2 linked regions of the Schizosaccharomyces pombe genome follow. The main gene of each other region encodes a partner of the protein of the gene in region 2 in a complex. Each region holds a gene or a part of one and is shown on either strand. Other genes may lie near its edges.

The links.
Region 1: swd2 (region 2) and shg1 share a complex: the UniProt entries of both Schizosaccharomyces pombe proteins name them as parts of the set1 complex.

What each region holds. Positions count from the first base shown.
Region 1 is NC_003424.3:2,355,350-2,359,048, reverse strand, and holds shg1 (Set1C complex subunit Shg1), read right to left. Parts: upstream 1,731-3,699; 5' UTR 1,689-1,730; coding exon 1,581-1,688; exon of another isoform or gene 1,474-1,580; coding exon 1,352-1,473; exon of another isoform or gene 1,287-1,351; coding exon 1,118-1,286; 3' UTR 661-1,117; downstream 1-660. Other genes in the region: mitotic spindle checkpoint ubiquitin ligase Dma1, read left to right, coding at 1-479; gdt2 (GDT1-like protein), read left to right, coding at 2,567-2,623, 2,895-3,699. UniProt on the Schizosaccharomyces pombe protein: The Set1 complex specifically methylates 'Lys-4' of histone H3.
Region 2 is NC_003423.3:1,781,349-1,785,030, forward strand, and holds swd2 (Set1C complex subunit Swd2.1), read right to left. Parts: upstream 1,872-3,682; 5' UTR 1,809-1,871; coding exon 1,633-1,808; intron 1,573-1,632; coding exon 1,308-1,572; intron 1,260-1,307; coding exon 627-1,259; 3' UTR 597-626; downstream 1-596. Other genes in the region: SPOM_SPBC18H10.05 (WD repeat-containing protein), read left to right, coding at 1-426; wbp4 (WW domain-binding protein 4), read left to right, coding at 1,911-1,964, 2,038-2,658; ubiquitin hydrolase Ubp4, read right to left, coding at 2,871-3,682. UniProt on the Schizosaccharomyces pombe protein: The Set1 complex specifically methylates 'Lys-4' of histone H3.

The sequences.
Region 1 (3,699 bases), on a different chromosome or scaffold from region 2:
CATTTTTGAACCATGTTCGTTTATCACCGCCGTCAAAAACGAGTAAGCCTTATCCCATCTCGAACAACGACATATTACAACTTGGGGCGGATTATAGAGGAGGTCATGAAGTCAACTATCGTTGTGTTCGTGCCCGAGTTGAGCTAAACAACTCTTGGAAAATTAAGCTTAGTCCTTACAACCTTAACGAATTCAAAAGAATGCAAGAACTGGTGTTATGCGGATCTTCTGAATCGGGTCCTCCGGAATGTTGTATATGTCTTATGCCTGTTTTACCTTGTCAAGCATTGTTCGTTGCACCTTGTTCTCACTCTTATCACTATAAATGCATACGCCCAACCCTAAACGAAAGTCACCCATACTTCAGTTGCTTTATATGTAGAAAATATCATGATTTGGAGGCTCCTGTTGAAGAAGGTGACGAAAGTCTAAATGACCTTCTACGAAATGCAACGGTAAAAGACGATGCATCTGAGTAAACTGTTATTTTCAGTATGGTTACTAATTGTCTTTTACGTCCTCAAGTTCTTCCTTTAATGACCATCGTAACATAATGATCATATTATATTTAGTCTTTATGAGCATGGCAGAAGATTATGGGAACACAGGCTCTTTGACATTTGCTGTTGCCTGATGATTGAATTAAACAAGCATGCCTCCCTAACTTTATTTATCAACACTCATAATGATTAAATATTTTATTGATGAGAAAACCAAGTGCTACTTGGTCTCTTTTATTCATTACTGCATTAATATAATTATCCTAAATGGATATATAATCTTAACTTCTGTCGTCCTTCACACCTGATCTCTACATACTCTCACATTTTTTTATTTTTTTTGAAACATTGGCATCACAAATGAATGTACTAATAATCAGCAGTAATAGAGATCCGAATCTGAAAGAATTGTGGTTGTTCTTCTGAGAGTCCATTTATTATCTCCTTCAGCATCATTAAATGTTATAACTTTTAATTCACTTCTTATGCAACCTAATGTGATTGCTGGTAAAATTCCCGAGAGTACAATTCTTAATTGTAATAAGTATGTTCAGTATATGCAATTTAGAAGTAATCAATAACAAAACTTTTTCAAACTTTTAAGTAGCTAATTATCTTCATTTGCGCCCATCCATGGTTTTACTATTCAGCAATTTTTCTTCATCCTCATGCTCTATTTGTTCAATCCCTATTTGTTCAAGAGAATTATAAATAACTTCCCTCAAATCTTGATCAGATAAAACATTGCTTCGGATGTGTTCCATGCTATCTTCATACAATGAAGATCTTATGGGTTAGACTGAGTTTCCAAAAAGAAAAGAAAAAAAACCATTATTAAGTCGTAAGCTTACCTATCTACGGCACCTGCAATTAAAGGAGCAGCCCTAAACTGGTCTTTACTTTTGAGTGTGCGATCTTTCACCATTTCTTCATCAATGATTTTTTTCAGCCGATCTAATAAAGGCCCTGATTCCTGAGGCGATGTTAGTATGGCAAAAGAGTGAGTGACATTGGTATCATTATGATAGTTAAAAAAAATAGTGATAGTTTAATTTTTGAGGAAACTATCGATGACCCTACCTTTTCATTTACTGTTTCTAGAATTTGTTTTCGAAGGCGATCAAAATGTCCTTCTTTTTTAAATTTAGATACAAGTTCATCAACATTAAGTGTTACATCCCTATCCATGCCTTTTGTTTATGAATTGACTACACGGTAAAATAATGTGGTAAAGAAAAGAATTTTCACGAAATGTAAAGATTTGATTACAGATTATTCGGCCATATTTATACTACCTTATTAATAAAACTCGAGTTATTTTACAAGACACATTTAACTTGAATTAATTGATCGTGTCTTGATTGCTCAATGTAAAAGTTCTTGAAGTAATATCTCGCAGAAGGGACTTCGTACAATCACCCTGTAAGAAACACGTACTAACGAGGTTTAACTTAAATGCGATGTTCTGTTGTTAAGGCTTTACTTTGACCGTTTGGCTAGTGAATTTTCTTATGTGTTTATGGTTGAACTTGCGTTATGTAGGTAGTGCAATGTGAGTTTCCCATCTAAAAAATTATCAAACTTCTGTTTGGTTTCGCGTATTACACTTACAATTAAAAGGATTGGCATTGGTTCCTATTGCTACAACAAGTAATACATGAAAGTAAAAAAAAGGCATAAAATTATGAGCATTTGCAAGTCCTAATGCTTGTATTATACCCACTAATGATCAATTAATATACAGTCAAGTGGTAACTATAACAACTTTTCGAAAGATAAGAGTTAAAAACCTGTTTTAAAACAAATTAGAGGTTTTTGGCATATGCCACGTGAAGGCCAGAAAATAAATGAAAATGTTTTACCGATACTAACCAAAGACACAGGCCTATTTTCAAAATGTGGTTGTTTTTCTGAATTCATTTAATTATAACTGCTTTTTTTTGGTGTGCGCACAATACGTCGAAGAATTTGTTAACTACCTTTAAAATTTCAGCTACACCAAACTTTGCATCTACGCTCAACAAACATTGCAATTACTATTTGCATCCCAGTCTTTTAATATTGTCATGAAAAATCCAATAAAATGGGCGATTATAGCGGTTTTGCTGTCAACCGTCGTGGCTGTAAGTTTTTTCCTTGTCCTTTAGAACACGTCTCATTGGTTCTTGTGCAATACAATCGTGATTAGTTTATTGTTGTACAAAGACGAAATAAATTCCGTGCAAATATGCAGGTGATGCAGAATTTACTTTGTCTCAGTAATTTACGATTTTGCTATAATCGTTTTTCTACATTCTTAAATCAATGATATTCACTTTTCCTTTTGGAAGAAGTAATGTTTTGATAGATAATTGAAATCAAAGTTTTTTTGCATTGAATCTAACACTACTTTAGAAAAAAATCGTTGGCGAAGGTATGGCAGACGTGTCAGCTATCAAACATCCAGAGGAAGTGCACCCAACAAACCGTGACTTTCTTAGGAGTTTGATCTTCTCTATATCTATGATTTTTGGTTGTGAAATAGGAGACAAGACTTTCATCGTAGCTGCTCTTTTGGCCTTTGAAAACTCTCGATTAACTGTTTTTGCTGGGTCATACTCAGCTCTATTCATCATGACATTATTAGGAGTACTTCTTGGGCACGCCGCTCCATTACTTTTTCCTAGAAAGTTAACGGACATTCTGGGAGGTGTCCTTTTTGTGATTTTTGGAATTAAAATGCTTATGGAAGCGAAGGAAGTTATGGATTCTAAAGAATCCATGTCTGACGAATTTCAGAACGTCCGCAACGAAATAGCTGCTAATGGCCCCATCGACCAATTGTTGGAGGAAGGGGCAGCACCTTCCCACTACACTGGTCACAGGTCTCGCTCTGGACATACTTTAATGTCGCAATTAAAATCAAAGGGACGGAACGTTATGGCTACCCTGTTTTCTCCTTTATTTATAAAGGCGTTTGCACTTACCTTTGTTAGTGAATGGGGAGATCGCTCCCAAATCGCTACTATTGCAATGGCTGCTAGTGATAATGTTTACGGTGTATTCATGGGGGCTAATGTTGGTCATGCTTGCTGTACAGCTTTGGCAGTTATTTCTGGAAAATATATTTCTACCAAGATAAAGGTTCATAAAGTCATGTTCATTGGAGGAATACTCTTTATTGCATTTGGATTGGTTTATTTTTATCAAGGCTTTTTTT
Region 2 (3,682 bases):
AGTGAAGACAACAGTTATATCATTAGTGGAAGTGATACTAATGAAGTAGTTTTATGGCATATTCCCAACAAGGTACTCATCAATGCATCAAGAAAACGCTCTGTCATTCTCCATTTGCCCACGGAAACATTCAAGGTTTGTAGTGAGAGACTGACTTCGACCATCATTGCACCAGCAAGGACTGCTGTCGAAGCTAAAGAGTCGGAACATGATCGCAGTTTAATTGCAGAAGGATACAATCTAGTAAAACCTCATAGTCACAGATCATATGGAACACCTCCTGTACATCCGATTGATATAATAATTGCTACCAACATGGCAGGTATGACTATTGTCTTGTGTGTTGATTATGATTTGGGGAATTCCCATCATGGATTTAGAAACTCAAAATTTGGACACTTTGTGAAGCGTTTATTACGAACCTAATCTCGATTCAAAACTAATATTACTTTACCTTTTTTTATTTTGTTTAAGTCTTCTAAGTCATTCAGGTGTCATTTAAAATAGAGGACTCATTTTTTCCCCCTTTTAAATAATAGTTATGAAGTTTTTTTATGAAATTGTTTTTAATAATAGTATAATATAATATTCATTTTTTCGTGGTTTGTTAAGACACAAAAACAATTTTACGTCCAGAAAATTACTCCAGAATGTGCTGTAACTAATTGAGAGAAGCGTGGATTAAAGCGAACAATAGAAGGTGTTTCTGGTAAAAGGTTTTTAGATGTTGAAGAAGGAATGATAGCTAGCGGGTTCTCTGTTGAATGACTATTGCTGGTCGGAGTAGTTGATGCTAGGCCCATTTCGGTGAATGAATTAACAATGTGATCCGAGTTAACAGTTTGTTTCAGTTCTGGTAGTTGATACATGCAAAGATGCTCATTATCATATGAAGTAAAAAGAAATTTACTATCTGGAGACATGCAAGCTGAAGCATAATAAGTCAAATTTCCATCTTGGGTTTTTGTGCTAACCTTTGAAGGAACTCTTAATAATTCACTTCCACTATAAGCGTCTATAACGTAATGAAAATCATTTCCAGTTGTTAGCAATAGATATTTACCATCAGTACTGAATTCCACATTTGCAATGCGGACATGAGGGGGCAGGAATGTTAAAGGAATGTCTTGAAATGGGCGAGCATCAAATGATTTAATGTTATAAAGAGAAATTTTGTATTTTCTTTCACTAACTGAGGCAAAGATTAGTCCTGTAGCATCAAAAGCTGCAACAACGGGTGAACTAACATTGAGCAAACCCTACGTATTCCTAGTTAGTTTGATTATCAGTAATTGTTATACTCATACCTGGCAATTTGGAGACCGAAGGTCCCAAAGGCGAATAGTATTATCTAAAGAAGCGCTTAAAAAAGTTTCATCTGCTGGTGATACATCGATTGAAGTCACTGTTTGCTTATGGCCAGGAAAATATCGAAGATACCGATTTGTCACAACGTCTAAATAACGAACGGTATTGTCTTCCTTTGTGGAAGCATGTATTAATGAATTTGAATGATGAGTAAACCGACCTAAATGTGCTCCGTACTTTTTGCTTGCAAGTGATTTCACAAATCTAGAAGTTCATGGTCAGTTAGCCAAACAGGTTTCAAAAGTGAATTTAAGAAGTACTTACTTTCCAGAAATGCAGTTATACAGTTGTAAAGTATCATCAGTACACGACGCCAAGCACAACTCTCCACTGTCGTCAAAACTGAGAGAGGTAATTTCACCAACAAAATTCTGATTTTTCAGCCATTTTCTTGGTTGCATAGACGACAACAAGTCAAAAGTAATTGAAACTGTTGTCATTACTAAATAACGGTATGCTAAAAGGTGGGTTTCCTGAGAAAAATATATGGGTAAATAAGTTTTAAGTATGTATTTAGTGCGTATCTCCTATTAATATTCAGAATGGCTGATTACTGGAAAAGTATTCCAAAATATTATTGTAAATATTGCCAAATAGTAAGTTTTTTCTATAACATCCAAAAATTATTTCTAAAGTGGTGAAATTAATAGAATCCTACTAACAGTACAGTTCGTGAAAGATACACCATTTGCGCGACGGAGCCATGAGCAAACTTATAAACATCAGGATGCTATTAAAAAAGTAATGGATGATATTCATCGTTCCAACCTTTTAAGGCAGGAACTTGAGAAGAATTTATCTATACCAAAATCAGCTACTGCTACCACTGCTTCAGCGGTGTCATCTGAACTAGCATCGTATGAGAAACCAAAAAAGGAGCATCCAAAATTACGTCCCTCTAAAAAAAAAGCTACTTTGGATGATTGGGATATTCCTACAAGTTCTACGGAGACTGACACCATCTCTACTACTCATACCAGCTATATTCCTACATTGCTAGCAAAGCAAGAAGAAAATGAAGAAACCAAGGAAACAACTACTAATAAAAATGAGTCTCTACCAGGGACCTCTTTGAAAAGAAACAGAGAGATCATCGAAAAAGAAGAAAGATCTTCATTTCATTTTCGGGTAAAACCAAAAAACTTAGATAAAGTACCTAAGTTAGCTGAAAACGAGGGAAACAAATCGCTAGAAAGCAAGGAATCAAATGAAAACAAAGTGGTGTTTAAAAAGAAAAAGTCTGGAAAGTTAAGAACAAAATCTTCCTTAAAAGAATATGATCAATCTTGAAGAAAAAAACCATCTTTGTTTAAAAAAAATTCTAGGATGAAAAAATTTTGTATCCAATTCCTGCATTCTGTTCAACATAACGAGAGTAGCTTTTGTGTTGGGTAATCAGCATTAAGTAAGTATTCATATCGGTTATGAATGCTAAGTTGAACATTTATTCAATAACTATATTTGAGGTTTATTGAAAACATTTTTCCTTTTTTTATTTTGTTTTATTTAACATTTCTTTTCAAAGTCATTTTGGGACACTTATCTTCAAACTCCTCCAACAGACTTGAGCGTTTATAAAAAAGAATGTAGGAAGAGGAGAAATCTTCTCTCAAGTCAGTAATACCGCCCACTGTTCGAACAATTGAGTCATCAATATGGCACCATTCATTATTAAAAAGTACATCAGATATATAATGTCCATTTTCGAGCTGGCCATAATGACAGATAAATGCAAACAGGTTATAATTGCTAGGAATATAACCAATTCCCGATTGGAAACTCGGTGGTACCAGCATTTTACTTGGAATCTGTAAGCTCAATCCAAGTGGTGTATCAATTTTTTTACGACCCATTACGGATATTTTAAATCTCTGAATTTGTATGATCAAATATTCAGGTAGTTTCGAAATCATAATTACTTTTTTTGCCGACCTTTGAACCTTGCACACGGGACAATGCCATCCATCATGCCCTTGCAAGAGTTCAGGAGCTGAAAATTTTAATAAGCATTCTTGTAGGCTTACTACATGGGAGACATCGTCAATCGGTATCGCAAGCGATGTGAAGGGAGCAAAAGTAGTAGATGTGCGGCCACATGTCATACATTGAGTACGACTGCAAAGTTGACCTACAAAATTGTTGACCACAATACTCTTGTTAGACCGGAGATGCAAGTTCCATTCAATGTGTGAAAAGTGGGACAATGGGAGTTCTTCTCTGGCACTTAATTGATCTTCCGTCAACGGTGCTATCGGAGACCGAGATGCATTGGAGTTCAAATCTTCATGAAGTTTATCAAGAAAGAAATTTAAAA